Linked DNA regions of Macaca mulatta. The protein of the gene in region 5 purifies or fractionates together with the protein of the main gene of each other region. This does not show direct contact. Links are inferred from orthologs where the notes say so. Each region holds a gene or a part of one and is shown on either strand. Other genes may lie near its edges.

Region 1 (3,500 bases), on a different chromosome or scaffold from region 5:
GGGCTCTAGAGTCAGACCATCTGGGTTTCAATCCGACTTCTACTTCTTACTGTATGGCACTAGGCTGGTTACCTAACCTCGCTGAGGTTCAATTTCCCAGACTATAAGGTAAATATAATAATAATAATAATACCTACCTTTCTAGGGTTTAGTGAGGATGAAATAAGAGAGTATATATGAAGTAAACAGAACAACATCTGACACATAGAGAGAATAATCAATAGACGTTATCTGCTATTTTCTTATTGCAAAGGGCTTCTATAAAAGTGAGTTCAGTGGTAGAAAATGTGATAATCTGAAGGAGCTACTTCTATGTCTTTGAAGGACATATATAATTCCAAGTGAGTGATTCCAAAGACACACATATGTTGATTTTAAAGCGGTAAAACACTGAATAGTATATAGATAATCAGCTCTAAATAACAAGTTCCCTTGGGCTTCTTACATACCGAGTGGGTACGGAGTGCTGCGATCGTTTTTGAAAGTGCCATTTCCCACAGTTCATCAATGTAGGCTCTATTTACTAAGCCCTGGGTTGTATGTAAAATGTGATCTTCAACCACAAAAAAGCTAAGATTGAGGAAAAAAGAAAGCACAGCTGTCAGAAATTACAATTTTATTACTCTCTCTGGGGTTTGACAAGCATTAAGAGATACCATCAAAGGCAAAGTTAGTGGTCATTTCTTTCTTGAAGAAAGTTATTCAGTATCATAAATGAAATCAGGCTACTTGGATTAAAAATTATGTCTGTGATCATGATATCTTCATAACCACTCCTAGAGAGATTAGAGTTACATTTCTATTAAATTTCTATTAAATGTTAACAATGATATCCAGTAGTTTAAAAGGGAGGAAAATGTGTAGAGGTAATGGAGGCAAATTTTGTTTTATTAAGAAAATACCCAGCTATCAATACATTTCAAAAAAACAAATTTTAAAGAGATCACAAAAGCTAATATATACATCATATATATTATGTATTCTTTATATATATCTTTTAAGAATCCAATGCACAAAATATCAAAATAATTCCCTTCATGTGGACTCTGTCACCAAAGTGCTGAAAAGGCATTGTATAAAGGTTTCAAAAATGCGAAGTTATGTTTGAACAATCTTGTTGTGGCTTTTTGTTATTATGCATTTAAAATGTAGCTTTCATTGTCTTGTCTAAATGTTCATATTAATGAAAAAAAGTCTTTATTAGGGAATTTTTATGATATATTTTAATAACTAATTACATTGAAACAATTTAAATCTGAAAAAAATAAACCTGATGAAGAATCCAAGTTATTTCCTTTTCTTTTAACTGCAAAGTCATTATTTTGCAATTAGAACAAGATGCCTGTATTGGGATGTTTATTTGGGAAATGCAATTCCATACCACTATATATATTCTAGAAGAGGGTGGCAAACTATATAGCCTATGGGATAAACCTAGCCCACTGCCTGTTTTATAAAGATTGTTTTATTGGTACATAGCCATGCTTATCATTTATGTATCGTCTACAGCTACTTTTGCACTGTAACAACAGAGCTAATCAGTTGTGACAGAGATCATATGGCCTACTAAGCCTAAAATATTTTACTATCTGGCCGTTTTGGGAAAAGTTTGCCAACTTTTGCTGATTATTTGGTTCCATCTACCAAAAACAAAGAAACAAAACATCAAGTGTAATAAGATTACAATTCAATGTTTTTCTCACTTTATCCACAAAAATGCCCTCCAGCAACATAATGTTGAAACCAGCAGGATATTCCTTTTAAATCATTAGAAAATCAAAAACAAATCTTGTCTTAAGGATTAAAAAAAAAATGAAAAGAATTTACTAAGGAAAACCTCATTTATTTTTCCAACACTCACAAATCTATGTATGGAAAGAGTATAAATTTCAATAAATAAATAAATAAATATATATATATATATATATATATATATACCTACCCTACAATTTGATTAAAATACTTCCTGTAGCCATCTAAAGTTTCATGCTGCAACAAAGCAAAGAAGAAGAAGTTACTGTTTGTGTTTTGTAACATTAAGACTAAGTTAAAATCAGTCACTTAATCTCTTAAGGCTCAGCTCCCTACATGACATCTGATAAGGTAAAAATAATAATATTATCTACCAATGAAGAGGAAATACAGCAGCACACATCCAGTACTTAGAACAGTGCCTGACACACAGCAATCAATGAATAATGTTTTCTTACTGCAAGTCACATCCACCAAAAGTGGTCTCAGAATGACAGTGTATACACACACACACACACACACACACAAGCATCAAAAGACATCAAGGAGGAAAAGTAAAAATGTGAGAAAAGTGAAAATGGTAATCCTACCATGTTAGATGGAGGTTGAAGTACCAAACGAGCCTGTTTTCGCCTCTGTTTTCGGTAGTAATTCTCAAATGTTTCCCGGGCACCCTGTAAAATAAAGAAAAGAAAATGGGTTGACACAATTGGACCAATTACTCTTATATTTCAAGGGAAAAGACAAGGTCCCAGGTCTGGAATTTGAGGTAGTATCACATTTCTCAAAATCTGCTATTTTAACATTGATGATAACAATAGAAAATAAAAATAACTATTACCATTTATTGAACCTGACTTACAAACCTGTAAGGGTGTATACAAAATATCCTTATAAGGAAACTACCAGAACTTAATCACCAGCACACCAAAGCTGGTTTCTGAATCTACTGTCTCAAATTCATAAGAATGAAGGGAAACCAACCTTTCCATAAGTTATGATAACAGGTAAGAAAAATTTTCCTTAAAAAAGCTACAGAACATTCCAGAAGAAAAATGTCCAGAATAAAAACCAGCTTTCAAATGAATCCTGAACAAAGAGGCAATGGGAAGCAGGAAAAAAAGCAGGAATTGAGAACAATAAATTAGTATTCCCCCTTAGGGTATAATCTAGCACAGGATTAAACCCGAAAAACAAAAAACAAAAGCATGAAGATTCTTGGTGCACAGTTCCCACTTTTAATTTAGGGTTTCTGGGCTTAAAATGAGAAGTGCTCTACAGAATAATATCTGACTTATGAGTTGTGTACTGGGTCTCCCCAAATTCATGTCCTTCATGGAACTTCAGAATGTAACTGTATTTGGAAATAGGGCCATTGTAGATGTCATTAGTTAAATTAAGATGTGATCCTATCAGTGGAGGGTGGGACTTTAATAGAGTATGTCTGGTGTCCTGAAAAGCCGAAAAGAATAGATACAGAGACACATGGGGAGAACACCATGCGATGACAGAGGCAGAGAATAGAGTGATGCAGCTGCAAGCCAGGGAACATCAGAGATTGTTGATCACCAGCAGGCGCTAGAAAAACACAACAAAAGATTCTACCCAGTCTCAGAGAGAAAATGGTCCTTCCGATGCCTTGATTTTGGAATTCTAGCCTCCAAAACTGGGATAGAACACATTTCTGTTGTTTTAAACCACTCAGTTTATGGGGCCTTGTGACAGCAGCTCTAGGAAACTAATACAAA
Region 2 (3,500 bases), on a different chromosome or scaffold from region 5:
GTAGCTAGGAATACAGTTGCACAATACCACGCCTGGCTAATATTCTTCATTTTTTGTAGAGACAGGGTCTCACTATATTTCCCAGGCTGGTCTCAAACTCCTGACCTCAAGCAATCCTTCTGCCTTGGCCTCCCAAAGCTCTCAAATTAGAGGTGTGAGCCACTGTGCCTGGCATCCTCACATTTCTGGAATTTACACTGGTTATTTTCATTTTGAAAACAAATCTGCTTACATTAATACATTTAAAACAGGAAGCTAGTTTTACAAAATGATGTTCAGCAATAATTTAAAATAATTGTTTCATACAATGAAACACTTCACTATATGTGTCTTTTTAACCTACCTCTGTCAAACCTATATGAGGTTTTCTAATAAGGTTCAGTAAACAGCTACTCAAAGTTCTGGTCAGCAGCAGATTTGTTGATTTTCTAAGCATATCGTCTATTTCTGTTGAGCTAAACAGAAAGACTGATATTATTAAACTTTTTACAAACTTTAATAAAAAATAATGAATATGGTTAGTTAACATCCTAAATAATTTAACACAATTTACTAAAATAATTTTCCCCAAGTCATTAATTTATATCCTTAAATAAACTACAATGACCCATATTTATTAAATCGCAAACTTCAATTTAACTTTGCAAAAGGGACATTTTCCATAAAGTAGAATATTCATATATGGCATAATTTAAATGTATCCAATTAACAACTACAGAAAAATCATGGAGGACTTGGTATAAGGAAATAAAACTATTCCTAAATTCCAACTCCATCATGGGATAGTAACTTTGCCGTTTTATTATTTTTATTATTGTTTTTGAGCCAGGGTCTCACTTTGTCACCCAGGCTGGAGTGCAGTGGTGCAATTATAGCTCACTGTAGCCTCAAAGTCCTGGACTCAAGCGATTCTCATACTTCAACATTCTGAGTAGCTGGGCCTACAGGTGCATGCCACCACGCCCAGCTAGTTTCGAATATTTTATAGAGACAGGGTTGCGCTATGTTGCCCAGGCTGGTCTTGAACTCCTGGACTCAAGTAATTCTCCCACCTTGGACTTCCAAAGTGCTGGGATTACAGACGTGAGCCACCGCGCCCAGCCCCAAAAGACAGGCACTTTGAAAGAAACTTCCTACACAACTACAGCTAAAAATTATTTTTAAAATACAAACTGACATGAGCTCTTTCTAGATATAATTAACAAATTTAATTTTTAATATAACTAAGTTATACATTTTCATCAAGATTTTTTAAGTCGTCAAAGAAATAAATTACCTTAAACTAATTTTAATATGATGTTTCTTAACATCCTAAGTATTACTAAGCTAGCACTAAAAAACAAATTCTTTTCTCCTAACCATTAGGCCTTCAATTTAAGTAAATAATGATTCCTTGGATACAGCCTCATTATCACAACAGTTAAACTGTCCTTAGACCACGGACTATCCATCTCGGCACTATTGACATTTTACGGTGGATAATACTTTGTTGTGGAGACTGCCTTGCACATATGGATGTTTGGCAGCACCCCTGGCCTCTATCCACTAGTTCCAAGTAGCGCCTCTCCCCCGAACTGTAACAACCAAACATGTTTCTAGACATTGCCAAATTTGTGGGGAGGAGGTGGTGGCAGGAGAACCAAAATTATCCCCAGTTGAGAACTACTGCCTTAGATATAAGCTAACATTTTTGTATCCTTTTACTTTTTATTAAAATACTACTTTTAAAACTCTGTGGGCCAGGCACAGTAGATTGTGCCTGTCATCTCAGCACTTTGAGAGGCTGAGGTGGGTGAATTGCTTGAGGCCAGAAGTTCGAAACCAGCCTGACCAACATGGCAAAACCTCGTCTCCACTAAAAATACAAAAATTGGCCAGGTGTAGTGGCGTTAACCTGTGGTTCCAGCTACTTGGAAGGCTGAGGTGGGAGGATCACTTGAGCCCAGGAGGTCGAGGCTGCAATGGGCCATAATTGTGCCACTTCATTCCAGCCTGGGCAACAGAGTGAGATCCTGTCTCAAAACAAAACAAAACAAAAACAAAAACAAACAAAAAGAACTACCATTCAACCCAGCAATCCCATTATTGGGGATATATGCAAAGGAAAATAAATCATTTTACCAAAAAGACACATGTACCCATATGTTCACTATAGCACTATTCACAATAGCAAAGACATAGGTGTCTATGGCAGCACCCCTGGCCTCTACCCACTAGTTCCAAGTAGCGCCTCTCCATTGATAGCAATGTTGGATTGGATAAAGAAAATGTGGTATATAAACCCCATGGAACACTACACAGCCATAAAAAAGAACAAAATCATGTCCTTTGCAGCAACATGAATGCAGCTGGAGGCTAATAGCCTAAGCAAACTAATGCAGAAACAGAAAACCAAATACTGCATGTTTTCACTTATAAGTGGGAGCTAAACACTAGATACACATGCATGTAAAAATGGAAACAACAGATACTGGGGACTACAAGAAGGGGAGGCAGGGGTTGAAAAACTACCTATTGAGTACTGTGCTCACTACCTGGGTGACAGGTTCAAGCATACCCTAAACCTCAGCATTCTACAATATGCCCTTGTAACAAACACGTACCCCATGAACCTAAAATAAAAGTTGAGGAAAAAAAAGTTATGACATAAAAACAAAGTATTAATGTTTCATAAAAGTTATGACAAAAATGCATTTGTGATTAGTAAACTTACCTCCGGTGTAGTGACTCTGAAAATTTAAGGCTGGCATAAATAAATTCTTTAACTTGAATGTAAATATGAGGCACTGACTGAGACATGGGGAATTTCTTTGGGAAAGATTGCTGTAGAAAAAGAAAGTTAATATTGTTTTAGAAATTTTAGAAAAAGACATGCTATTCACTAAAAATGTAATTAAATTGATTTCACACTTGAATAGCAAATACCTGCATCAAAAACCCTGTTATATTTCTATATTTTTGATATTTTATCAAAGTATTTCTGAAGAAAATAATGTGGCAATTTACCCTTGTTTCTTAAATCATACTATCAGACTTCCAACAAGCAGAGAAAACACATACCAGTACCTCTGGTGTATTCTGACGATGAGTATTCTGTCTGTAGGTGATGCCTAGCTGTCTGCTTCTTTGTGTATTTATCATGCAAGAGTCAGGGTGGCCATGAAAATTACAGGCCAGCTTTCTGGCTCAGAGTAATTAAATAATTCTAAGACTCTCTTCACCTACCTTCAGTGAAGGCTTGATGCCACTTCAAGAAGTTATCGAGTTTATTCCATTACTCCTAGAATACCTTATAGCAGGTTTCTGACCTCCATGCCATTAAACACTGGTATGCAGCCAATGGCTTACAGGGTGCTTCCTGGCTAAACTACTTTATAAGTCATTATCCATTCGAAATTCTGAGTCTCTAAAAGGTAAACTCCTTCTAAGATTGTTACCAAAAAAACCCTTTTTTCTATTTCATTAAGTCTAATATACCCTTCTATCTTCACCTTCATTGC
Region 3 (3,500 bases), on a different chromosome or scaffold from region 5:
TTAGTCTTAACTCCTTACAAAGAGTAAGTACATTAGTTTTAACTTCTTCTTACAAGCATCTTGAGGGTACGAACTATTTCTTATTCTCACATATGGTAGACAGTGAGTACATAATAAGCATACAATGAAAATTTTGTGATTGCCAAAGAGGTGCACCATATTATTTTAATCAACTTTCCCAGCTTGTGCCCCTACCAGGAATAGACATACCCATGTTTCTCAACAATTTTGCTAGGTGACCTGATGCACTGAATGCAACACTAAGAAAATCTCTTTCTTATGCGTGGGATATCTTCTTCCACCTTTTTTGGCACATCCTAGGTTGTCACAGCATTCTGGTATTTAACATGCATCATTCACATGTAATAACACATATTAGCTTTTCAGAAACGGGAAGCATTCATTTTAAACGAAGCCATTAGTTTACAAGGCAAGAAGCAAAATCATAAATAACTGCAGGTTACAACAAACAGTTAAGGGTACAGAAAAGACTATTGTTTATTGGCTGATATTTTCAATACTATCTACAAATGTGGATAACATAATTGTCAACAGTGTCATTTTTACAAACTAAGGAACTGTATAGGAATAGATGTTATTGTAGTAATTACCTAAGAAAAACACGAATTAGTAGTTCCTATGTGACATCTAAGCTTACTTTTTTCTTGACACTTTTCAGGTCAAGTGGAATGTTAAGGGAATTTCTCTGATTTCCCCTTACTGTGCTTTTAGTTAGGTGGTCTTCCTTTATGCTCCCACAGTCTCACCACCGTAACATTTATCCCTCTTGAGTATATTATTTGTTTGTCTCCCTTCCCTAGACTGTGAACTACCTGAGGACAGGACTGGTCTCTCATTTATCCCAAGTCAATGTCTGGTATGTACCTCAACCACCTGGCAATACTAAATAAATGAAGGAGTAATATTACTATTATTACTAAATGAAGAATACTACTACTATTTATTACTAAATAAATGAAGTGAGTTGAAAAAATGACAGAAAGAAAAGCAAGCAGAATGAGATTAAATGCCTTTTTGGCCCAAATAGTCTCTACTATGGGACATTAAAAACCGGCTACGAATGTGGTTAACAAGTAGCTTAAATCAGTAAGTTATAATCTGTAAAGATTCTGCTGCTGTTAAGTTTAGCAAACTCTATAGAAAAAAAAAAAACAAAACAGAATCAGAGAAGCTTGAGCCAAATTTGATGTACTCACAGGAACCGAAAGAAAGTAGGACCTGTTATAGAGTTGAAGGAGGGCCTGAGTAAACTAATTGGAAATAAAATATAGTAAATACAATTGTTTTAGAATATTGCAAAGTGAAAATAAAGTAAAAATCCACTGTTTTCAGGCAGTATTTCTTGATGAACAAGATATCCCCCCAATTTTTTTTTCATTCAGTAACTCTAATAAAATAAAAGGGACTTTTAAAAGAGATGAAAAAATAAGAAACCTAATTTATTACATTAGATATTAAAATGGCTTTTATTCAAATCTCCCAAAGGTACTCTTAATATTTTTAATAACAATATTATTACCACACTCTTAATTATAACATCCTTCTCCATATAAAAATATAGGCAAAGCATTTATATGAAGATTAGATCAACTGAAATTTATGGTTGAGCCATAGTCATTTTCTTAACAAGCATACTATGTTCTAAGTACATAGAACTTACAAAACATTTAAGACACTGAATCAAGTCCTAAGTCTCACCTCAAAATATTGAAAAATAAAACAAGTCCAATAGTAAACATCTAACAAGTTTGGACTTACTTTTATAAGTAAAAATATCTAAGTAGTATATGCAATTAATATGCACAGTTATTTGATTTCTAGAATCAGAGAGCATCAGCTGAAGGGAACTAGACTGTCTACTGAAAGAGGCAGCTGAGGCCCAAAATACATCTATGAGCAAAGAGGCACCTATTTCAAAATATTAAAATCAAATATGTGAAGGAATTGATTGCAACCCCAATTAAACATTATTAACCTTTTTGTGGAAATGTAAGGTTAAGATAATACATAAATAAGCTATAGGAACATGCTCGTCTTAATAATAAAATAAAATTACCTGTTGAACAAAAACATTGTTGAGGTGACTCGCCAGTCTCCGGGCAAAAAGCTCTCGCAAATCACTGAATCGCTGCTGTTGCTGTTTGACTGCCAGAAGCATGTCATGGCCTGATACAGAATGACATTTTGTGACCAGTTTAACGGGTAAAAAGATTTCCTTGATGTTTAATGGAACATTAAACATATCTAAAGTTTTGAATAACCCCTAAGTTGTATGGGTGTATTCATTTACCTGATAAAAGTTAAGCAGGAGAAAAATGGGACTGCACAGTGGTTCTCAAAGTGTGGTCTTGCCTCACCATCGCCTGGGAATTGTTAGAAATGTGGATTCTAAAGCCTCAGCCCAGATCTGCTGAATCTGGGGCTGGAGCCAGGCAATCTATGTTTTTAACAAGACCTCTAGGGATTCTGATGGACACTCAAGTTTTGAAATCCCTGCCTAGAAAAACCTTACGCTCTCTGGTCTAACCAAAGCACCTACTTTCTGCTGGGTTCTGCGGATAGTACTAAATAAAGATCCTGGTGTTGACTATAGTCATTGAGGTCAACTAGAAGGAGGAACTGAAGTAAAAAAGTTCATAGTATCAATAGAAATAAGCGGGAAATCAGTGAAACTTGAATAGCTAATAATGTAACCCTAAACCACTTGTCTCACGTATTTCTTGTCAAAATCTTTATAACAAGTTACAGGCTTAGTCTCAGATTCTTGGTCACATTTTTGTCATTTCTAATGAACATACCTGGTCGAAGAGCTACATTCATGCACTGCAGAAGGGCATCAGCAGCATTGGTGCAGGCCTCAATGCCTCTGGAAGAAGCAAGATCTCCTTCCTGAAGGGCCTTTATATGACCTTTGGCCAAGTCCATGTGGTTCTAGAATATATGCAAACATACCATTTGCATGTATAATTCTGGGAAATTTACAGGCAAGATGCTACTCAATCCTATCATTAGGTCTTTGGAATTAATTTAAATCCTGTTCTCATAAGGAAATTAGAAAATGTTTACAAATGGGTTTTATATATCATCACTAGTTTTTTTTGTTGTTGGTGGTGGTAATTTATGATCATACTTACCACAAGGAACTCTATCTCAGATAGGAGTTTTACATTATTAGTGTTACTAAGATGAATTAGGTGGTTGCTTTCAGAGATCTGATCCATTTGTTCTTTTACACTTTGGAGCATTTCTTCATAACTGCTCAGCTTCAATTCAATCTGATCTACCTCCTTTAGAGCCTCATCTAGCAATTTCATCAAGATGTTGACTTGTTTTTCAGATGCCATGATTGACTGGATGTTAGCCTACAAAGTTAAAGACCAAAACAAGCAAACAAAAAACACAACATTTCATGTTACTTAAGTGTGTAAAAGATTAAAGGTGAAATGTTGCTAAATTTCCTTTAAAGTAGAGTAACAAAA
Region 4 (4,288 bases), on a different chromosome or scaffold from region 5:
ACACTAGCCTGGGCAACATGGTAAAACCCCATCTCTACAAAAAATACAAAAATTAGCTGGGTATGGTGGTGCCAGCCTGTGGTTCCAGCTACATGGGAGGCTGAGGTGAGAGGATTGCCTGGGCCTGGGAGGTCAAGGCTGCAGTTAGTTGTGACGTTGCCACTGTACTCCAGCCTGGGCAACAGGGTGAGACCCTGTCTCAAAAAAAAAAAAAAAAAACCAAAAAGTGTTTTATCAAAGGATGAAACTGAAATGCTATAGTGTATAGTGTGACCATAATTTCAGAAGAGAATCAGCATAATTTAAAAGGATAGCTAGCATACTATATGTTTTAATAATTCCAGTATTTTTGTTATTTGGGCTTAATTTAACTTCTTTTCCTCTTTTTGATTTTTGTATTCTAAGAGGGCACTTTTAATTTTCAAGTTGTGTTTGAAACTATAAAGAGTATGCTAATACAACTTAATATAAATATAAATAATATATAAGCGCTCTCTCTATATATATACATACATATAAACAGACCCAAGCATTAGACCACTGATGTTGTACTTTCAGGATTCACACGAATAAGTCTAGATGCATTCCTCAGATCTTGGAGTTGCTTGGCAGGTTTCCCCACACCTTCTTCAAACCTTTTCTCCACCACAGGGAGGACTGTTTCATATAAGAAGGATGCATTCTGTCTGATAAAAGCTTTCTTCTCTGGATCCTGCTCACATCGAAGACTATAATCCACATGCTGAACAGCAACCAAAATGATTTCCACCAGGCTCTCCAAAAGTACCATGTGCAGCTCTGGGAAATACAGCTTCAGAGCCTCTTCCAAGAAGCCCATGGTCTGTTTGGTGAAAGCAACCACTGTGTAACTTAGGTTCACCCAGCAGTCATGCCCTGTGTACTGCTCAAAGTTACTTACCCCACAGCTTTTCATCTCTTCTTTGAGCTTCCCCAGGGCTTCTGGCGTCATCAAGTTCATCCTTCTCCACATCTCTTCAGAGTTGCGATGTTTAGTGGCTTCAATGATGATTTCTTTGTAACTGTGCAAGGCCCCTTGGATGTCTTTCACCAGAAGGGCATGGATGATGAAGGTGAGGTCCAGTCCGATATCACCCAGTTGCTGGCAATGCTCCTTAGCCACTTTTACACACTCAGCTGCTGTTGAGAGGCTCTCCTTACTATCAAACACCTGCTTGCTGAAAGCATCCACGAACATGCCCATGGCTGATCTTGCCCAGACCACAAAGGCGGAGTAGCAGCCGCTGTCAGTGCCTGCAAAATCAATCTCAAATTCTCTTGCAGTCTCAAGAAGGCTGGTAAAGAAGACATGGCACAGCTTATGAATATAGAGTAAAGTGGCGCCTTCAATGCGAAGCTGACGAATTGCTGTATGAACAGCGGCTGCCCTGTTTCTCAAAAATAGCTCACAGGCCTTCGTGCACTGGCCCAGCCGGATCAGTTGCGAAACTGCTCTGCGAGTAGCCTTGGGACCACCTCTCAGGGAACGATCTGGGGAGAGTTCGAAAACCAGCACCTCAGTGAGCTGTCGAACTCGCTCCTCCACTTTGGCCCTTAGTTCTTTTACAGGAGGTGGGCTAGGCTTATCTTCCAGGTAATGGTTCAATTTATCCAGCAGGTCAACAGCCCCTTCAAAGTCCCTCTGCGCAATGCAGACATCCAGGTCTTCAGGTAACTCCTGGATCCATTCCATGGAGAGGTCCACGTTCTCTTCCTCTACCTCAGGAACAGCTGGCTCTTCTTCTTCGTCATCCTCAAATGGGTTAGTGGCCTTGGAAGTCACTTGGGGTGGCCCTCGAGGGGCCGCTGCCTCCTCCTGCTCCCTTCGCCTTTTCTCACTGAGGGCTCTCTTGGTCTCCTCCAGCACTTCCAGCCACTCTCGTTTTATTTTAGCATTTTCGGCCTGGAAAATACGGCTCTCGGGGAACATAAGCAGCTTGAACATGTCCTTCATGGGCGGGTTGTCCTTGACATTGACTACGGCCAAACCATCTAGGGAATAGAGAGCGTTGTAGCGATACATCCCCCGCCGCTGCGGCAGCCAGGTAGCCACCAACAAACAATCGTTCATGAGAAAGCCGTGCACCCGCTGCAGTTGGGCCATGTGGTCGGCATCGTATTCCACTAGGTCCCCGTTGTACACCAGGTACTGTCCCGGCGTCTCCAGCAAATGCCTGCAGCCTTCCACCTTCTCAAGCAGGGTGGTGAGAGTGCGCTGCTTTCCTTCCTCGCCTGGACCGGAGCCGTCGCGGGAGGCGCCACCGGGGGTGGAGAAAAAACCGGCCTGGCCTCGGAGGTGGTCTCGGCCCCCCGCCCCACCGACTCCCTCCTCCCCGCCAGACGCGGCAGCGGCTCCGGCGGCAGCTGCGGCAGGCAGCAACGTAAGCGGGATGCTCTCCAGGCTGCTCTTCTGCTCCGTCAGCAGGTGGCTGAGCTGGTACATCTCGCTCTCCAGGTAGGAGATCTCACGGGCCGTCTCTATGAACTGCCGGTAGTTCTGGTAGACGTTGCGCTTCAGGTTCTGCGCCGTCTCCTCCGCCAGCGCCTGGATGCGCTGCCGGTGCTCCTGGAGGTCCCGGTCCCCATCCGACTGCTGCGAGAGCTGCTTCACGTACAGCCGCGCCTCAAAACCCCCTGACTCCAGCTGCCGACGCAGGCGGCTCGCCCCACTGTCCGACATCGCCATCGCCATTTCCGTCCGGGTCTCACGCACTCACTGTCACTATCGGCGCCGCAGCCGCCGCGGCTGTCTACACCCACCCAAGACCCACCGAGCTCCTGGGCTGAGGAAGCAGGAATTGGAACAAGACGAGTGCGCCTGCGCCGGGTCTGAGCGTCAGACACTGCGCCTGCGCAAGGGGCCAGGCGCAGACATTGCGCCTGCGCAGGAATGCCATCAGTTAAGGCGCATGCGCCGGAGGAGCTAGTGCGGAAGTGAGTGGAGAGGCCGAGAGCAATTTGAGTACTGCGCATGAACCGAGCGTGACGTTGAGGTTTGAAATAACCGGCAAAGAGTAAAGGCTGGAACTAGCTTCCTGAAAGCTTCGTAGGGCCGGTGCCCTGTGAGCCCAGGTTCTGCGCCCACTAGGAGGTGTCGTGCTGACTGCTTGTTTTAAAGCCCTAGAATCTTGGCTTCGGCGTTTGGGGTAAGCGCCGTTCTCGTTCACGTTCTCTTTCTCAAGCGAGTTTCCGCGAACTCTCGCGGGATTGACTGGCCGTCTCGAGAGCCGGTATCTCCTAGGAGCTAGTCCTGGTCCTCCGCTAGGCGGCTTGGGGTCGCAGCCTAACTCGGAGCCAGCCTGACACCGGCGGATCCCGCCTGTGATCCTGGCAACGATGGACGATGACCTGATGTTGGCCCTGCGGCTTCAGGAGGAGTGGAACTTGCAGGAGGCGGAGCGCGATCAGGCCCAGGAGTCCCTGTCGCTAGTGGACGCGTCGTGGGAGTTGGTGGACCCCACACCGGACTTGCAGGCCCTGTTTGTTCAGTTTAACGACCAGTTCTTCTGGGGCCAGCTGGAGGCCGTCGAGGTGAAGTGGAGCGTGCGAATGACCCTGTGAGTTCCGAGCCCCGCTGGGGAAAGAGGCGGGACTGGCAGTTCTCCTGCAGCCCCCGGTCCTGGTCTTCTCTCCTTTCTCTGGTCCGACGGTCCCAGGGGGCATTAAATGAGGGGGGAGTCTGGTTTTGGACCTGGCAATTCCTGCCTTGGCGTATTTCTCTTTTTCTTACCTTTTCTCCCACTCGAAAAATAAGAAAGCTGTGTAGACCCCACCGCCACGGTTGGACTCAGGGCCCTAACGAGAAAAGAGATTTGTGTTTGAATCTCACTAAACTTGAAAATAACAAGTTCCTGATTTGCCTTATGATAGTGCTGTAGGACCCTGAAGGGAAAAGCAACCAAATCTGCCCCTAAGAAAGTGCTGAGGACGCAGAGTAACCTCCAAAGGATGTGCGTTCCCCTCCTCTCTTTCCCGTTAGGAACCCACTTTAGTGAGCTCGTGTGTTGCAGTGGGGATCTTCAGTGATGCTTTTAAAACGATTCTTTTTCTACATGCTAAATTTGAGAAATCCTTATTTGAAATAATAATCTACTCCTGCACGTGAATAGGGTGAAGTTTAAGATACAGTTGTATACCACCAGCATGCTTGTTTTTGAGTTGACAGAAAACAACCTACAAACAAATTAAGATATCATATTAAATTGTGTTTAAAGTACCAATCTCCTTTATACAGGCGTCTGTTATCATTTTGGAGATACACTATTGGAGA
Region 5 (3,500 bases):
AAAACAAAAAACAAAAAAACAAAAACAACTTTCTCACCTGGGAAAGTACCAAGTGACTTATTTCTTAATTCCTGGCAAACTGCTTTCTCCCATGGGGGCCATGTCAGTCCTCACACTACGTGACTGGAGTTCTAATGTGTGGAGTGAAGCCTCACCAGGGATGGCGCCCCTCAGGCGGCTGACTCACCTTCCCTGGCCCTGTGACCGTCATGATGCAGAGTTCCTAAGAATCTGGACCTGGGGTGTGCCAGGCCCTGCCAGCAGCTGACACAGGCAGAGGAAGGACAAGGGGACAGAGCTCACTGGGCTCTCCTCACAGAGTTTCTCACAGCATCCGTTTCCAAACAAAGGAATGGGTTTGGACTAGCCTGTCAATAACCAACGGTATCATTCAGAGAGAAATGTCACCCACCAGCCCTCACTCCTGCCTGACCAGAGTCCTGAGTGAGGATTCTAACACAACTGGGCTCCATCCCTCAGCAATGCCACTCAAATTAAAACACATGATGAGCCAAAAGAAAAAAAAGCAGGAAAAACAGGACACAGGGTGGTCAAACACTAGAAAGTGAATCCGTGGTGAGAACACACTGGGTCTAACACCTAGTGAGGCTCGGGCATTGGAAAGTGAATCTGTGGTAAAAATGCAAGTGAGTCTAATACTTAGAACCTTAACCAACGAACAGGAAAGCAACTTTGAAAGCCAATGGACGCCGTGACCCACCAGGTGGAGGTTGCAGTAAGCCAAGACTGTGTGCTACTGCACTCCAGCCTGGGCGACAGAGTGAGACTACGTCTCAAAACAAATAATGGACGCTCCCAAAATCTACCTGTTTAGACTCAATCATGTGCCATTTTTTAGGACAAATCCTGGATATCAACCAAACAAACTCACATTTGAAAGTCGCACATAAATAACATATAATTAGGCTCTAGTCCAAACCCATAAAGACCCAGTCAGAAAAGTAAAGTGACCTTGGGCAAAACTATTTGGTAAGTATCGTCCCAGGTTTCTGCAGCTTCAGAGAGAAAGAGACAGAGACAGCAGAGGACTTAGATGCACCAGGCAGGGCTCTCAATATTTTCACCACACTCTGCGGATGAAGATCCCGGGTATCTGTGTCACTCTGTAAAACCTATAGGTCCTACTATCCACTAGGAAATGGAACTGTGCCAATCCCCTGCATTTGATACCTGGAAGACGATGGCAGGGAGTGTGGTCTGGTAGTACCCATCCTGGTCGGCTTCCGGTTCTGTATCTTTGACCCAGTCTTTCTTGTCTGTCTCCAGTGCTTTCCGCAGCCAGGCGATGATGTTTGACTAAAGGAAGTTCAGCATGATGGAGAAGAGAAGAGAAGAGAAGAGAGAAGAGCAGGTGCCTGAGGGTCATGCCAATCACCTGGTCGGCTGCATGCACAGCTCCAGAAACCAGACACACGGCACCAGAGTCCTCGTTCCCAAATGAGGACTCCAGAGCAGGGACCCAGGAGCCACCCCCATGGGAGGCAGGGCCCACGGCAGCCTGCAGGGATTTAACTGGAACCTTTGTACAGATAAAGAGGGAGAAGAAACTAGATGCCCTTTTGGCTGCACCTCATGCTGGAGGACAAGGCCGCTGAGTCCCAGGTGTACAGAGAACGAGGCTGACCAGGTCCAGTCAGGTCCGGTCAGGCCTGTTCCTCTGCCCAGACTCAGCAACCACAGCAGCTCATGTCCCAAGAGAAGACAGCACTCCTTCCCCAGCTCCTGAGGACACCTCTGCTTCTGGTCACAATGCTGCCTTGCTAGGTGGACACACCCTTGTCTAAGAAGCAGACCCTGCTGACCCCCTCCTCTCACTCTGAGACCACCTGGTGGTCACCAAGCTGCAAATGGACTTGCCCTTTGGTCCTTGACTGACCCCCCCTGACCCTGGGACTCAGAGCCGAGAGCTGGCAGGTGCCGCCACACACGGTTCAGACATCCTGGGCCCTGGCCAGCCTGCCGAGGATGGCACAGGCTCACATCTCCAGCAGAGGACAAGCTTCGGATCCAGGCCCAGATCTCCTCTTCTAGCAAACGGACCTGTCAGGGCCTGGAAGCAGAGCCTGGGCAACTGAGCAACGTACCCTAGGAAGTCAATGCGAAGGCATTTCCCACCCTGCCTCCTGCCTGCTGCCAAGCCCAATTACTTGTACAACCAGCACGGTGGTCTATGGCACGCAGGCCGGCCCTACTCACAGTGAGTGTGGACATGTACGTGTCAAGCAGCTCAGAGACCACGTGTGCAGAAAGCAATGGCTCCAGGGTGCCGACATCCACTTCCGGGGCCAGCTCCGTGTTCCTCATCATCTCCGTACTATGGGAGAACCAGGAACGTGAATGACAAACCACGACAGACATAGAAGAGCACATCCAAGTGTGTCGAGGCTGTTTCACTTGACACATGAACGTCCACCCACCCTGGAGACTTCCTGGTCACAGCCGGCCCACGGCTCAGAGGAAAGTGCAGGGCAGGGGTCGAGGGCTTTGGGGTCTCCGTGGGGTCAACCCACTGGCTCTGAGACCACGTGAGTCCCTCCAACCCCAGCCTCACCCTGCTGTGCCAGCTTCATAAGGTGCTAGGGCTCAAATGCGGAAGAGACTTCCCTGTGGGGAAGACATGTTCTATTCACTGCACTTCCAGAGCCAAGGCAGGGCCTGGCAAACAGGAGGCACTGAATAAACAAACGCACTCAGTCAAAACAACAACAAGCACAGCCGGCCCCCACAGCCATGGGCGCCATGTCCACTGACTCAACCAACCACAGACTGAAAATATTTGGGAAAAACAACAATAAAAAATAATAAAAATTTCAAAAAATATAGTCCAACAACTATTTTCATAGCATTTACACTGTATTTAATTTTATAAGTAATCTAGAGATGATTTAGAGCAGGAAAGAGAATGTACACAAGTTACATGCAAACACTATACCCTTTTATAAAGGGGACTTAGGCTCCAGAGGATTTTGACAGTCAAGGGGACTCCTGGAATCCCTCCCTTTTGGGTATGGAGGGGCAGCTGTGCTGTACTTTGGAAACAAGCCACTGCAGTCAACATCACTGTGCTCTGCAGAGGCTGATGACTGGAAAGCAGAATACAGGACATTACTGATAAAAATGTATCTGCAAGAACAGCCTAAACTACATCCAGTCTACTGCCCAGAAGACAGGAAATACGTGCTACACTTCAGGAAAAGTTTTCATTAAAAAGTTATTATCAGCCGGGCACGGTGGCTCAAGCCTGTAATCCCAGCACTTTGGGAGGCCAAGGTGGGCAGATCACGAGGTCAGGAGATCAAGACCATCCTGGCCAACATGGTGAAATCCCGTCTCTACTAAAAATACAAAAAAATTAGCCGGGCGTGTTGGCATGCGCCTGTAGTCCCAGCTACTCAGGAAGCTGAGGCAGGAGAATGGCATGAACCCGGGAGGCGAAGCTTGCTGTCAATCGAGATCACGCCATCGCACTCCAACCTCGG
Region 6 (3,500 bases), on a different chromosome or scaffold from region 5:
CAAGGGCACCAGCAGGCCCCGCCAGGTTCGAGGGGAACAATAGGAGCTGAGCCCAGCCTTTGTTCTGGCTTCATTCTCAGCTCTGCGCAGACAGTGGGATCAGACACCAGAGGCAGGAGGGTGATGGACGGAAGGATAAGGAGGGAAGATCACTGAATCAACATCCTGGATAAGGTAGTTTGACCCCAGGACTGAGGATTCTGAGTTGTACCTGAAAGAGGGCAGCCCAGGGTGGGCAGGTGGCTGTGCCACCTCAAGGAGGCTGGCACTGGGGTCATCCATGTGGGCAAATGTGGGGCCTGCGAAGGAAGTGACCAGCCCAGCCAGGGCTTCTGGAACATCTAAGAGGGCGGTAGGCTGCAGCCTCTGAGGCTGGCTGGCATGGGGTCAAAATCTGAGAAGAGGCTGGTAAGTCCCAGAGAGGAGGGGTTGCCAGCTGCCCCAGGAGAAGGCCAGATCCTATTACTGGAGGCCACAGTGGGGGCGCCTGTGGACAAAACCAGTGGCAGAACTGCCTGGTCCTATGTGCCAAGGGATGGGCTCCGAGGGGATCAGAGCTCTGAGTTGTTGCAGGAGGCAGACGTCAGGGCTCCCTGCCCTCAAGGGAGCCACCTTCCCTCTCTGCCTGCTTTCTGAGTAGCAGCGGCTTCTCCCCTTGGCCCAGGCCTGAGAGCCAGGCACGCACTCCCATCTGGAGAGAGGCAAGGAGACCTAGGCCCAAAAGAGAGTGGAGAGAGAGGCGCACAGGCCTGGCCCATCCTCAGAGCAGACTGGGCCTGGCTGGGCCAGACAGGAGCAGGCCATCCGGGGACCGCTGCGAAGGCAGTGTCAGCAGCTGCCCTCGGGCTGGGCTGCAGTACTCACCGGCCAGTGGCCCGTGCTTGTCGTTCAAGGCCTCGGACAGGTGCTTAACTCGGAAATCATGCTCGTGACCTGGCGAGATGTTGGCCGCATAAACACAAGCAGTGTTTATCCAGGGGCCCGGCAGGCCGCCCCTTGGGGTATAGGGAGAAGCCCTTCATCTCCAGGAGGGGGATGTCAGATGGGGATGGGGAAGGGGGCATCAGAGAGGGCTCTGAGCCCCTCCTCTACCTCAAGCCACCTTGGGAACAGCCATTTCAAGCCTGACTTCAGTGAGCACCCAGGACCGTCCTTAGCTGCTCATTTCCCCAAGTCTGGAGGCCCAGGGAAAGCGGAGAAGGACCAAGGAGGGGCTGAAGAGCTGATGCTTGACCCCAGGGGGGTTCCCCACCTTGCCGTATTTGCGCAAAGCCCCAGTTTGCCTGTCGCCTGCTGCACACACTCCCCTTTCTGAAGAGGGGAGGCCTCGGCCAGCTGGGGCTGCCACTGTGGGTCTGAGCGTGAAAGGCTGCCCCAGACAAAGAGCTTTCTCTGAGTTCACACAGGAGACAAGGACAGAGACAGGGGAGGGAGGAGGGAGCCCCAGGGAGGGCAGAGCTGCCATCAGCCAGAGAGGACCAGGCCGAGGGCCGCGAAACTGTCCTTGCGCCTGCTGAAGCCCAAGTGGCATTGGGGACCTGCCATTCCCACCCTGCTCCCCTCAGGGTTTCTCCCGAGGCCCTCCTGGGGGAGGCTCTGCCCTGCCAAGTGCGTGGACACACAGTGGAGGAGGAAGGGACAGGAGGGGAACACAGGGTGATTACCTTCCAGAGGAATGAGGTTAGAGCCCCCCTTTTTCCCATCTAGACCATGCTGGGAATACTGTTTCAGAAGGTTCTGAGCCTTACGGATCGTCCCTGTCACCAGAGCCACACAGAGAGGAGATAAGAAGACCTAGGAAATGAGTGAGAGAAAACAGCAGCGGCCCTCCACCTGCCCCCAGGCCCCACACCCAGCCCCCCAACAGTGAGCAGGCCCTTCCCTGGGACCACCAGAGACCCTGGGGACAAAGGCGAAGGAAAAGAATAATTTCCTTCTCCAAATGGAGCCTTGATTCTACTACTGACCCTCCTTGTTCTGGATTTCAGTTCATTTCTGAAAGGACAGAGGATAATGAAGATGGAACAAGATCCACCAGGAGAAGTCAAAAATACGAGTGGCATTGTAGTCAGAACAGGCGAGGGCTCAGGTTGGAGGAGCCAGTGACAAAGCTTGCACACCAAGAGGGCACAACCAGGGTGGCAGAGCTTGGGGGTACCCTGAAGCCAGCAGGCCCCCAGCCCAGCCCCAAACTCCAGGCAGAGCTCTCCGAGCACGTTCAGTGTTGGGACGTACGCCAAACAGCAGCCAGCAGGAAGCCACCCTGACTGAACTTCCGGGGAGCGCGGTGCCCAAGGCGGACGGCTCAGAGACCCAGAGGCAGCCTAGCCCCACACGTTAGAGTTCCCCAAACAACCAAAGGGACAAGAAAAAATCCAAAAGTCAAGAAGGGGTTAACAGAAGTCACCACACAGAGAACCTGGAGGGTGTGCGCAGAAGGAGAGGGCACATGCTCTTGGCATGGGGAAAAAAACAACAGTTAGTATCACAAGTGGAAACAATGAGAACAAAATGGTAGCGCCCACAGCCACCTGAGTCCGCCTCCTTTATGGGAATGAGACATCTTGGGCCAGAAAACGTGGGGAAATAAACCTGCATCTCAAGTAGACAAGTGCAGCTGCCTTGTTAACAAAATGTATGGGGGCAAGAAGGCACCCGGGATGCCCTCCACCCTCCTACTGTCTATCTGAGCAGTGAGGCTGCTGTGTCCTGGCAGCTCCCCAGAAAGCTGAGGCAGAAAGGGCAGTGTCTGGAGGCTCATTGCTTACACCTGCACTGCACTGCGCCGCACCGCATGACATCACAATTAGCTTTTTTGTTTTTGTTTTTGTTTTTTTTTTTTTTTTTGAGACAGAGTCTTGCTGGGTCGCCCAGGCTGGAGTGCAATGGCACAATCTCGGCTCACTGCAACCTCCGCCTCCTGGTTTCAAGCAATTCTCCTGCCTCAGCCTCCTGAGTAGTTGCGATTATAGGCGTGTGCAACCATACCCAGCTAATTTTTTTTCTATTTTTAGTGGAGACGGGGTTTCACCGTGTTGGCCAGGCTGGTCTTGAACTCCTGACCTCAGGTGATCCGCCCGCCTCGGCCTCCCGAAGTGTTGGGATTACAGGCGTGAGCCACCATACTCGGCCCATAATTAGCTCCTAATAACCAAGTTCCGCGGCCTGGCTCACATCTGCCTTGCTCGTGCTCTCCCCTTCAGCGAGCGAGGCTCACTAATGAGTGAATTGGATTCCCGCCCCACGACCCACCAGGAGCAGCCGGAGCAGCCGCGGACGCAGGTGCACGCCGGCAGGACGTGGGTCAGGGATGCAGATCTGGCAGCCGCCAAACCCGTCAGGCGCCCAATTACCTCCAGGGATGCTGAGGTCAGTGCTTCACCACCTGGGAGGCCTCCCTGCCCCTCTCCTCAGAAGTGGGAACCGACGTCAACGGAGCCTGACTCCCTAGAGCCTGACATCGGTCCTGAGCCCACCAGTGCCTGACAGCTCGGAAACCC

What was found.
Region 1: the proteins of EXOC3 (region 5) and EXOC6B purify together in Homo sapiens (affinity purification with mass spectrometry; 3 studies listed by BioGRID and IntAct, counting the BioPlex papers as one, with this or other methods). This does not show direct contact. The link is inferred for Macaca mulatta from reciprocal best matches to the Homo sapiens genes EXOC3 and EXOC6B.
Region 2: the proteins of EXOC3 (region 5) and EXOC6 purify together in Homo sapiens (affinity purification with mass spectrometry; 6 studies listed by BioGRID and IntAct, counting the BioPlex papers as one, with this or other methods). This does not show direct contact. The link is inferred for Macaca mulatta from reciprocal best matches to the Homo sapiens genes EXOC3 and EXOC6.
Region 3: the proteins of EXOC3 (region 5) and EXOC1 purify together in Homo sapiens (affinity purification with mass spectrometry; 5 studies listed by BioGRID and IntAct, counting the BioPlex papers as one, with this or other methods). This does not show direct contact. The link is inferred for Macaca mulatta from reciprocal best matches to the Homo sapiens genes EXOC3 and EXOC1.
Region 4: the proteins of EXOC3 (region 5) and EXOC8 purify together in Homo sapiens (affinity purification with mass spectrometry; 5 studies listed by BioGRID and IntAct, counting the BioPlex papers as one, with this or other methods). This does not show direct contact. The link is inferred for Macaca mulatta from reciprocal best matches to the Homo sapiens genes EXOC3 and EXOC8.
Region 6: the proteins of EXOC3 (region 5) and EXOC7 purify together in Homo sapiens (affinity purification with mass spectrometry; 5 studies listed by BioGRID and IntAct, counting the BioPlex papers as one, with this or other methods). This does not show direct contact. The link is inferred for Macaca mulatta from reciprocal best matches to the Homo sapiens genes EXOC3 and EXOC7.

The regions. Positions count from the first base shown.
Region 1 is NC_133418.1:52,234,098-52,237,597, reverse strand, and holds part of EXOC6B (exocyst complex component 6B), read right to left. Parts: intron 2,427-3,500; coding exon 2,343-2,426; intron 1,990-2,342; coding exon 1,943-1,989; intron 571-1,942; coding exon 450-570; intron 1-449. UniProt on the Homo sapiens protein: Component of the exocyst complex involved in the docking of exocytic vesicles with fusion sites on the plasma membrane.
Region 2 is NC_133414.1:104,902,644-104,906,143, reverse strand, and holds part of EXOC6 (exocyst complex component 6), read right to left. Parts: intron 2,824-3,500; coding exon 2,714-2,823; intron 456-2,713; coding exon 344-455; intron 1-343. UniProt on the Homo sapiens protein: Component of the exocyst complex involved in the docking of exocytic vesicles with fusion sites on the plasma membrane.
Region 3 is NC_133410.1:77,601,710-77,605,209, forward strand, and holds part of EXOC1 (exocyst complex component 1), read right to left. Parts: intron 3,384-3,500; coding exon 3,156-3,383; intron 2,953-3,155; coding exon 2,820-2,952; intron 2,188-2,819; coding exon 2,078-2,187; intron 1,272-2,077; coding exon of another isoform or gene 1,218-1,271; intron 1-1,217.
Region 4 is NC_133406.1:17,695,224-17,699,511, reverse strand, and holds EXOC8 (exocyst complex component 8), read right to left. Parts: upstream 2,801-4,288; 5' UTR 2,711-2,800; coding exon 533-2,710; 3' UTR 204-532; downstream 1-203. Other genes in the region: DNA-dependent metalloprotease SPRTN, read left to right, coding at 3,355-3,575. UniProt on the Homo sapiens protein: Component of the exocyst complex involved in the docking of exocytic vesicles with fusion sites on the plasma membrane.
Region 5 is NC_133411.1:1,553,441-1,556,940, reverse strand, and holds part of EXOC3 (exocyst complex component 3), read right to left. Parts: intron 2,336-3,500; coding exon 2,218-2,335; intron 1,318-2,217; coding exon 1,192-1,317; intron 1-1,191. UniProt on the Homo sapiens protein: Component of the exocyst complex involved in the docking of exocytic vesicles with fusion sites on the plasma membrane.
Region 6 is NC_133421.1:85,822,251-85,825,750, forward strand, and holds part of EXOC7 (exocyst complex component 7), read right to left. Parts: intron 1,758-3,500; coding exon 1,652-1,757; intron 1,017-1,651; coding exon 865-1,016; intron 1-864. UniProt on the Homo sapiens protein: Component of the exocyst complex involved in the docking of exocytic vesicles with fusion sites on the plasma membrane.